Linked DNA regions of Cricetulus griseus. The protein of the gene in region 3 interacts with the protein of the main gene of each other region in a pairwise test. Links are inferred from orthologs where the notes say so. Each region holds a gene or a part of one and is shown on either strand. Other genes may lie near its edges.

Region 1 (2,790 bases), on a different chromosome or scaffold from region 3:
TCAGTCTATGGTGGATAAAACCCTGTCTCTGAGGCTAACAGCACTGACCAGAGGCAGCCCGAGACCAGAAACCAGCCTCTTTAGTATCCAGCCTAGGAAAGAGGAAGCCCAGAGGTGGTATGTATGTGTGTGTGGGGGACTGGGGGTGAGACTTGCCCCTAGGACCAAGGTCAGGGTCACAGGTGTAGCCTCCTCACCAGGATAGGGCACCCGTCCCTTCGTGGTGAGCTCGGTCAGCAGGATCCCAAAGGACCACACATCTGACTTGATAGTGAACCTGCCGTACAGAGCAGCTTCGGGAGCAGTCCACTTGATGGGGAATTTGGCACCTAAAGGCAAGAAAGCACAGGGTGTCACTACCAGTCTGCCGTAGGAGCATTACCCTCGTTTCCACTTGGCGGACTGACACCATCGGATCCATCCCCAGAGCTCCCACCTTGCCGGGCTGTGTATTCGTTGTCTTCTATGAGCCGGGCCAGACCAAAGTCAGCCACCTTACACACCAGATTCTCCCCAACCAGGATATTGGCAGCTCGGAGGTCCCTGTGCACATAGTTCATCCGTTCCACATAGGCCATACCAGAGGCGATCTGTAGAGACAGAGAGCCTGGCTCAGCGGCCAAACCCACACCCATCCCAGGGTTGTAAGCAGGTGTCCTGGGGTGGTCATTGCCTGGGATGGAGAGACAGCCAAAAACACCTTTCCCATCCCATGTCTTTTCAAGCAAGGAATTCATTCAGCTTATAACAAACATCACTGGTTTGAAAAAGTAGACCACGGCTGAAGAGATGGCTCAGTAGTTAAGGCACTGGCTGCTCTTCCAGAGGTCCCTGAGTTCAAGTCCCAGCAACCACATGGTGACTCACAACCATCTATAATGGAATATGATGCCCTCTTCTGTCCTGTAGGCATATGTGTGGACAGAGCATTCATACCTAAAAAAATACATAAATAAATACAATTTTTAAAAAGAAAAAGAAAAGGTAGACCAGAGCTCAGTGGGGGAGGGGGACAGGCAAAGGGCAATGGGAAGGTCACAACAAGATGCTGCCCAGGAAGCAGGTGAGTATAAAAAGAGGTCCCAGATGACTCAAGGACACAGGGACATGGCTGGTCCTGTCTATTGTCCCACGTTCCCTCTGAGTCTTAGTTTCCTCATCTACCAAATGGAAATAATAAATGTTAAACTTTTAGTATTTTATTTTAATTATGTATATGTCCATCTCTGATGCTCAGATATGGTATATCGTCCAGGACTGCCACCCCTGGCACCAGCAAGGGCTCCACTGAGTGGCAAGGTGAGATTTGGGTGTAATGAAAGTAGGCCTCCTAGAGGGGGCGCGCTGAGCCCAAGAGCTCAAGGTGTTGTAGAAAAGCTGAGAGACTCACCTGAGCAGCCATGTCCACCAGCTGCGGTAGCCGCAGGTATTTGCCGGTTTCCCCCTTGAGAAAGTCCAGCAGACTACCTGGAGAGAGAGAGAGAGCCAGCTCTAACCCTGCCAGGGTTTCCCTGTGCAGGAAGCTGTGGCTCCAGACCCTGGCTACCTGCTCAACAAGTAAGGAGAAAAGCTTCAATTCTGTGTTTGGCACTCAAAGGTAAACACTCCAGGGAGCTAGACCAAGAAATCCTACTGGGCCCTGTAGTGGGGGATGTGTGTGTGTGGGGTGGGGTGGGGGGGATGTTACATGCAAAAGACCACGTGTAAAGCCCAAGACACATTATGTTTATTTGGACCAAGCCTGCCAGCCAGTGGCTGCCTGGGGCTGGGGAGTCCCATCTCTAAAGGCAGCAGGCAACTTTGGAGTAATGTGGGTGCTATGGATGCATTTTTTTGTTTTGTTCTGAGACGGTGTCTCAAGTAGACCAACTCACTATGCAATGGAGGCTAACCTTGAACTCTCGATCTTCCTCCTCCTCCCCTCTCAGGGCTGGGGTTACAGGTCATCATGCCTAATTGGCAAAGTGCTGAGGATCAAACCTAAGGCCAAATCCAGGGCCTTGGGCATGCTAGACACTCTGCCAACTGAGCTACATCCCCAACCCCACACTGCTGTTTGCTGAGACAGTCTTGCTATGTAGCCAGCCTCGCCTCAGATTCAGGGTCCTCCTGCTTCAAGGCCCGGGCACTGGGATTGTGGTGTGAGCCACCAAACCACCCAGCGACAACAGAGATCGTAACAGTGCTAAAGGACAAAAGGATAACCCTCTAAAAAAGTATTATTTCTTGTTATTATTTATGAACGGAGTGAGGCAGTCCCTCAGGTAACCATCCACTCATCGGGGTTGGCTCAGGGTAAGAAGTGTGGCCTGCCCTGCCCAGGCCCCTAATTGGAACTCACTCCAGGCACAGGCCTTACCCTTGCTCATGTACTCTGTCACGATGTAAATGGGTTCCTCCGACACCACCGCATACAGCTGCACCAGTTTCTCATGCCTCAGTTTCTTCATGACTTGGGCCTCCTGCAGGAAGGCCTCTGGAGACATGGTGCCCGGCTTCAGGGTTTTGATGGCAACCCTCGTGGTGCCATTCCAGGTCCCTGTGCGGGAGGGACAGCAACCTCAATACAGGCCACCATTCTGTCGAACTGGGGCCAGGCTAGCCTGCATGGGTCTTATCTTAACTCTTCCCCCCCCCAACTCATGGAATGGGCTCAAGCAAGGCCAGGGACCTTACTGAGACTCCGTATTCCCACTTACAAAATGGACTCAAGGAATGGAAAGTGCCCCCAGGGCTGTGAAATGTGTGTCTGGAGCCTACTAACAAACCATAGCTGCTATTAGATATTGA
Region 2 (4,372 bases), on a different chromosome or scaffold from region 3:
CACACACACATGCTGGCAAAACACTCATATACCAAGTAAAATATCTTTAAAAATTTAATGTGTGTGTATGCCTGTACACATGTGTGTAGGCATATACATGCTAAGGGGCCAGAAGACAACTTGTGGGAGTCATTTCTTTCCTCCTGTCGTGTGAGCTTCTGAGGGAACTCAGCTTGTCAGCCTTGATAAACAAGTGCATTTATCTATTAACCAATCTTGCCTGCCTGGGTTTTTTTAATTAAAAAAAATGATTTTAGGGACTGGAGAGGTGACTCAGTAGTTAAGAGCACTGGCCACTCTTCCAGAGGACCCAGGGATTCCCAGAACCCAGATGACAGCTCACAACTCTCTGTAACTCCAATTCCAAGGGACCCAACACCTCTTCTGACCTCCACAGGCCTCAGGCACAAGTGTGTGGTGCACATATATACACGTGTGGAGAACATATGTACATATGTGCTACATACACACACACACACACACACACAGGCAAAAACACTCACATAAAAATAAATAGATCTTTAAAATAATTATTAATAGGTTTCATCATGAGATTTTCATACATGCGTATCACGCTTATAGTTACTTCGCATTACCTCTCCCATCCCTTCTGCCCTCAAATAGTTCTCACTCTGCAGCTTTTATCACACACACACACACACACACACACACACACACACACACCCCTAGATTCTGTCGAATCATTTTTAGTAAGAGAGTGGCACGCTCAGAATTCTGACGGAGGAATATTACTAGCAAGAAAAATAGTGGCGCACGCTGGCGGTGCTGGTAAGGGTGGTACCCATACCAGTCTATGTGCACAGTGTGCACTCAATAAATACCCGTGGAAAGAAAGCGTTTCAGAGTCCTCTCTTAGATGAGACACTATAACTGAGCCGTTAAGAATCCACCTGCCCCAACCGTCCTTACAGAGGAAGAAGCTGAGACACAGAGGTAAAGAAAATCATGAAGCTAAGGGGTGGGAACTGATTTAAGTGACTCTGGGCTCAGCCCAGTGCTAAGAACACTTCCCTGCTTTGGGAAGAGAGGAAGCCAGAGGCCCGCCTCCACCTGTTCACTCACCAGTTCTATTTTGTGAGCACCTACCGTGTTTGTTAGGGTGGTGGGACGAAGTGGGGGGGGGGGAGATAGAATAAAGGTTATCTTTATCGTCAGTCATTAGACGCTTTCCAAGCCTTTCCCTCATTTCCTCTGCGCAAGGAAATACTATCATCCCCATAGCTGGGGAGAGCACACTGAGGCGTGGAGCGTTACGCAGCACACACAGCCAGCCGCTGGGACAGCGCTGAACATGCACGCAGACCAAGATCGCACCCAGCACCTCGGCTCACATGCTCGCTAGCAATCGAGCTCGCGCGCTCCACCTTGCGCGCCAGGGGACGCCCGGTCACGTGGGCAGGGCCCCGCCCCTCGGGCCCGCCCCGCCCCGCCGCGCTCCCTCCCTCTCTCCTTCCTCCCTCCCTCCCCGGCCCGGTCCGGCCCATCCCCCCTCCCCACCGGCTCCCTGAGGCCTGCCGGGTCGGGCTGCGGCGGCCGGGCGCCGACGGCCGGACGGACGGGCGCACGCGAGGACCGGCGGACGGACGCGCCGAGGGCGCCGGGCACGCACGGCCCGGGCCGGCGCTGCGAGGCCCGCCCGGGGCCGGGGCCGCGCTCAGGTGAGGCGACGGCGACGCTGGCCCGTAAGGGGTGGGCCTGCTGAGCGTCCCGGGCCCGGCCCGGCAGGCTTCGTGGGGAGGAGGCCCGCCCGGGCCTGGCGCGCGAAGATGGCGCCGGGCGGCCGTGCAGCTCGGCCCGAGTGCGGCCCGGGCCCGCAGCCGCCCCACCCGCCGCCGCGCTCGTGTCCCCGTCGCCATGTTGGGGAGCGGGCCCGGGGCCTGCGGCGGGCGCGGCGGGAGCGGCGGCGGCGGTGGGGAGTGCGGGTCGGGGCCCGCGGAGTGCAGGCGGCCGGGGTTGCGCGGGCGGCGCTGCGGCCCAGGAGCCGGCTATACCGCGGGCGTGAGGTCCGGGCTGGGGGCGCGGAGAAAAAGACCCCGGGAGCGGACGGGACCGGGGTTGGGGGCGGGGCCGAGGGGGCGGCGGGCCGAGGGGGTGCCGGGCGGTGGAGTTGGGTTAGGCCGTGCGCTGTGAACCGAGCCCCAGAGCAGCAGCCAGGGGTAGGGGAGGCAGCTTGGGGGCCGAGTCCTGGCTGTCAGGGCTGGAGTTGTTCTTTGCGTGCGCTGGAGGAGATTGCTTAGGAATGGGGGTTGCGAACTCGGGGATCAGAGTGGGTCACCGACGCGGGAATCAGCCTGGAAGGGTCCTGGCACTGAATGGCCAGTCTTTATGACTCCCAAGGGTCTCGGGACCTGTGAGCCCTGAGGAGCCTCCAGTCCCGTTGGAGGCAGCAACAGGAAAAGGGAAGAGCTTGATGAGGAAAGAAAGGGTGCCAGGCAGGGGCTGGATGTAGGAGCTGGACAGCAAAAGGTACAGAGTGGAACTGGTAGGAAAGGAGAGAACCTCCATCAACTTAAGGAGTTGTCTTTAAAAGGAGGGACCCGGCTGTTTGGGGGCGGTGACCCAAAGTGTGTTTCCTGGAAGGGGACAGCCGCTGCTTAAAGAGCAGGGTCACCTGGGGAGGTCGTCTGAAAGGTCTTGTTGAAACTAGTCAGAATCGTGAAGAAGGAAAGGACATGTAATAACTACGGTGGCTTTACAGAGATCATGCCATGGTTTCAAATCAAGTAGTGATTTTAGCCAAGGTAATTGATTTCCTAAGATAGTTTGTGTCGGTGACAGAGGCTCCTGGATATGGACTAAGGCTTCCTCATTCAGTTGCTAAGTCAAACTCCATTAAATTATCAGAGTCATTAATTTTTGTTTTAACAAGTTTGTCAGTACAAAGCCTGAGTGGGATACAAAAATGTATAATCAATTATTGGATATTTCCTAGATCTCCATTGATACAAAAAAAAAAGCATCAAGAAAGAACCTCTTTCTAGAGTTTAAAAAAATGTTCCCCCTCGTCTGGATGTTTATTGCACAGCAAAAGAACACAAAAAGCTTAAAAGGGGAAAAAAGGATAATGATAGAGACCTAGGGTCCCCATCATATTCACTTTAATTGAATTTCTGTTATAAATAGGCAATTGAGAGTTCAAATGGACTATGAGATAAATCAGCCAGTGATATATAGTTGACTTTTAATGTCCCTGAGTTTTGCATCTACAGCTTCAACCAATCACCGATTAGAAACATTCATAAAACAAAAAATTGAAACTGTGCTAAACATACAGGGTTTTTTCCTTGTCACTGTTATTTTTTCTTGTTATTATTATTCCCTAAACTAGACAGCTTAACAACTGTTTACATGACATTTACATTTTATTGGCTATTACAGGTAGACAGGATACACAAATATTGTATCACTTTATATAATGATTTTGATATCCTAGGAGGTCCTAGAATCCATTGCCCATGGATATACCAAGGAATGACAGACAATACAAAACTCCACATAATTAAAAAACAAAACAAACTTAGAAGCCAGGCACGGTGGTTCACATCTATATCTCAACACATAGGAGACTGAGGCAGGAGAGTCTGGGCTATAGAGTAAAGGCCCTGCCTCCAGAGGAAAAAAAATAGACTTTCAGGTGTTGGCATTGTAGTTAAATGGTAGAGTGTTTGCCTAGCATACAACATAAGGGCCTTGGTTTTATTCCCAGCACAAAAGGGATGGAGTTTAATCAAAAGAATTTTATAAGGATTTTCAAAACCACATGTATATTCAGTACCAATTTTTCTGAGTCTTTCTAATGCAGAGATCTGATCTTATGTGTGCCATGGTCCCTGTAGCATGGATCTCTCAAAATAATATTTTTAATTGTATAAAGTAAATGACATTGATTACAAAGGAAACTAGTTACATTCAAATAGTTACTAAGTATAAAAATTGTTTATGCTGAAGTATCTGTACACCTATTTGTGAATGTGGTGGTAGGGATTGAACTCAGGGTCTTGCTCAATCTAGGTAAGCCTGCAATACTGAACTATTCCCCCCTTGCAGAGTGTGTGTGTGTGTGTGTGTGTGTGTGTGTGTGTGTGTGTGGAGGAGGTGGAGGAGTAGTACTTATCGAGTTTGTGCATATGCATGGGGAGACCAGAGGTTGACTTTGGTGTCTTCCTTGATTGTTTCTCTACCTTATTATTTTTTTACCTTGACATTTTATTTTCTGTAGTTATTTGTGTGTGGGGCCATGTGTGTGGAATCTGAGGACAACTTGTGGGGATCACTTCTCTTTTTCCACTTATGTGGGTATGCCAGAACTCAGGTCATCAGGATTGACAGATAGAGTGCCTTTACCTGCTGA
Region 3 (3,653 bases):
ATGGTCAACGCCCCCACGTCAGCAGGAAGCAGTCTTAAGAATTCGACGCCCTTATTCCTTAACCTGCCATGTCTAAACACCCCACCTTTTTTTAATAATAAGTAGAGGTGGGAATGAAAGGTTCAGGCATTATGCTGGCCTGCCCCTGTTACCTGGTGGAATCCACTCAGGCAATACCCTGGTCAGCCCAAGGTTCCATGGGAAAGAAGTCTGCATGCAGGTGCAGAGGACCCCTTTAAAAGATAGGCCCCTGCACATTTACGCTCTCTCTGCCCCTTTACTCTCTCTGTCTCTCTCTGTCTGTCTGTCTCTCTCTCCCCCTGTTCCTGCTCTCTGTCCCCTCTCTCTGTTTCCCCGCTCTCTCTCTATGGCGACCGGCCATGGCGGTCAGCCATTTACCCCTGTTCCTCTTTTTAGTCTCCCCATTCTACCGGCCCTTATAATAAACTTATAGTCAATATGTCTGTCTCAATATTTCTCTTTTCTTCTTTTTAAACAAAAGAATAACAATTACATATTCAGATGAAGTTCACAGCCCCCAGAATGTGAGAGACAGGCCTTGTTACAAATAGACAGAATGAAGTCAAGATGTAGAGAGTCCTACCAGGGATTTTCTTGGCCCAGCCAATCATGTGTACCAGTTCCTTGTCGGCCAGCTTAGTGAGAGACATCATCATGGAGGCCTCGGTGAAGGGCATGCTGGGACGGCTCACTAGCACATTGGGCGGCTCTGCCTCCAGGAGGGTGAGCACCAGCTGCTCTGGGCTCAGGGTGCTCAGCAGTAGCTCCTTCACACGGGGGACATGCCCACTGTTTCTCTTGGCTTTGCTCAGGCAGTGCATCTGCTCACTGGAACTTCTCTGTCTTCGTACTATACGGTACCCACACCTTTCTCTCCTGGATCCTAAAGAGGAGAGCAGATGACAATCTAGTGGTTTCTCCGCCCAAGGTTCCAGCTCACAGAATGACCAGTCTAAAATGATAAGGGGCTGAGGGTGTAGGTGAGTAGGTTAAGTGCTCGACTCGAAAGTGCAAGGCCCTGAGTTCGACTCCCAGTCCCAGCACTGTAAGAAACTGTGTTGACAACATCATTCCAATTTTTATTTTGGAGTCTGTGGGCCATGGAAAAAGATAACAACTGTCTGAGTGTATTAGCAACATAACGTGTTTGGGAACTTCTACTCCGTTTCAAGGTTATCACTGGCTACTGAATCTGTTTCTCTTCTAAAGTGCACTGATAGACCCCAGGTTCAAAGATATGAAGTTAGACATTTTCCTCAAGTAGAAAATAAAGAAAAATCAGGAGTTTAACATTGCTATTTCCAGTTAGCAAATAATACATGCTAACGACATTTCAAAAACATTTCTATACAGGTACGTATTTTTTTCTTTTTATATACTTACACAAACAAATATATTTCAAATAAATTAACTGAAAAGGCCTGGAAAATACAAGAGAAAATTAATTTTGGCATAAATTATTTCATTTATCTTTTCTTTTATGCTTCTTTATATTTTATAAACAAAATTCAAATCATAGCATATATGCAATTTCATAAACTACTCTTAATCTTATTGAAAATATGTCACTTGTGCTGGGGAGAGAGCTCAGTGAGTAACAGCATCAGCCATACAAGCTTCACGACCTGAGTTCAACACTCAGAATTCAAGTAAACAAAGCCTTATATGCCAGGTGTAGTGGACCATACCTGTGATTCCAGCACTCGCAAGGCAGAAGTTATGTGCATCTCTGTGAGTTTGTGGCCAGCCTGGTCTACAGAGTAAGTTCCAGGACAGCCAAGCCTACATAATGAGAACCTGTCCTGGGGGGCGGCGGGGTGGGGGGCAACATTACATTTGTAATCCCAGCACTCCTACAGAAGACAGAGACAAAAGACTACCCAGAAGCCCACAGTCCAGCTAGCCTCGAGAATACAGTGCCAAAAAAGAACAAGAGAGACACTGCCTCAACAGGATGGAAAGAGACAACTGATTCCCAAAAGTTGTCTGATCTCCATGGTGTGCTGTAACACATACACACCCCATACACACATGAACATACAACAATAAACCAAGTTCACATCCATCCCATTAATACAACATCACTTATTTCACTGGAACCCAGGAAGAGCCTAGAGGATCACCACACATCCCAGGCCAACTTGAGATACTTACTATACATAGTAAGTTCCAGGCCAGCGTGAACTGTAGAGTAAAGGAGACCATACCTCAAAAAACAGAACCTAAAATGTCCCATGCTGATATAAGGCTATGTTATTATAATTTCTTTATTAAGTACTGCAGTGAAAAATGTGCCTTATTGGTGTATTCAATTACTTCTTTATAATAAATTCAAAGAAGTTAACTTGTTCAAACAAGGAATACATACATTAAAAAAATTTATAGTTATTGGTAGATTACCTTCCAAAATATTTAAAAATTCATAATCTAAACAGTAATTTAAGGATTAATTGTTTTCCCATAATATTGGACTTTAGTGTTACTTTTAATCTTTGTTGGTTTTGGGAATGGTAAACAGTCTTTTCTTACTTTGCATTTTTAAAATTATTAGTAATGTTCACAAAATGTTTGCCCTTTGTATTTCTTTCCTTGTACATTGCTTATCTTTTTAGGTGGGGGTTCAAGACAGGGTTTTTCTGTGCAGTCCTAGCTGTCCTGGAATTCACTTTGTAGACCAGGCTGGCCTCAAACTCACAGAGATCTGCCTGTCTCTGCCTCCCCAGTTCTGGGATTAAAGATGCTCCAACACTGCCCGACTTGTCTATTTATTTTTATGCTTTTCTCTTCTAAAATGTATTATTTTTGTCAGTTTAAATTTTTATTTAACTTAAAAGGTGGAAAAATGTGTATTTCAAGTCTTATTAAATTTATTTACCTGAAATATATGTTTACATAGAGGACAAACAGATACAGGATTTCAAGTAACTAATGGAACAGTCATTATCTGTTAAAAATATTCTTCTTTCTTTCACACATATTTCCTTTTTACAGTATAAAAGCTAGATGCAAACTTTTGATGTAAACTTATCTCATTGTTAACTCTGTTGATGAAAATGGGAGACACACTTGTTCACGGTTCAGTTAAATACACAAACAAAAAGCTGTTTCCTCGGACACAAAGATGCCCCATGTCTCTCACAGTAGGACTGTGTGCTTCATGTTCACACCACATCATTTCTTCTTCTTGCCTTTCCCTTTTTTACTCTCCTCTCCTTTTTTGTGTCCTTGTTTTTAGCTTGGGTACCATTTCTGCTACATACAACACCACTGACTTACATAACAGGAACTGTACAGGACAGAAGCTGCCATCTTCCTGTCTGAGCTGTACCCAGACTCTGTTTCTGTACTGAACATCAAGGTTCCATTCTCTGGAGTACATTTTGTTTGTCTCCAGAAAAGCATTCAGTCCAGCTGCTGAGCATACATCCTGAATCTCAGTAGCGGTAGGGTTTTCTACAGCCTTGCTTATGGGAATCTGCCTCTCCTCCTCTGTGGTCTTGTTATTATTTAAATAAGCGAGGTAGATACAAATAAACCTGTCTTGGTCTGCCAGGACCCACAGCTGCACAAGCTGGAAATTCTCTTCTAAAATTTATAAAGGCTCTTTGTATAACATTGCTGCATGCAGCATC

Evidence for each region.
Region 1: the proteins of Esr2 (region 3) and Src interact in a two-hybrid assay, tested with the Homo sapiens proteins (2 studies listed by BioGRID). The link is inferred for Cricetulus griseus from reciprocal best matches to the Homo sapiens genes ESR2 and SRC.
Region 2: the proteins of Esr2 (region 3) and Ncoa6 interact in a two-hybrid assay, tested with the Homo sapiens proteins (3 studies listed by BioGRID). The link is inferred for Cricetulus griseus from reciprocal best matches to the Homo sapiens genes ESR2 and NCOA6.

The regions. Positions count from the first base shown.
Region 1 is NC_048599.1:22,072,806-22,075,595, forward strand, and holds part of Src (proto-oncogene tyrosine-protein kinase Src), read right to left. Parts: intron 2,540-2,790; coding exon 2,360-2,539; intron 1,468-2,359; coding exon 1,391-1,467; intron 591-1,390; coding exon 437-590; intron 330-436; coding exon 198-329; intron 1-197. UniProt on the Homo sapiens protein: Non-receptor protein tyrosine kinase which is activated following engagement of many different classes of cellular receptors including immune response receptors, integrins and other adhesion receptors, receptor protein tyrosine kinases, G protein-coupled receptors as well as cytokine receptors.
Region 2 is NC_048599.1:24,163,988-24,168,359, forward strand, and holds the start of Ncoa6 (nuclear receptor coactivator 6), read left to right. Parts: upstream 1-1,493; 5' UTR 1,494-1,679; intron 1,680-4,372. UniProt on the Homo sapiens protein: Nuclear receptor coactivator that directly binds nuclear receptors and stimulates the transcriptional activities in a hormone-dependent fashion. Coactivates expression in an agonist- and AF2-dependent manner.
Region 3 is NC_048598.1:127,334,591-127,338,243, reverse strand, and holds part of Esr2 (estrogen receptor beta), read right to left. Parts: intron 905-3,653; coding exon 605-904; intron 1-604.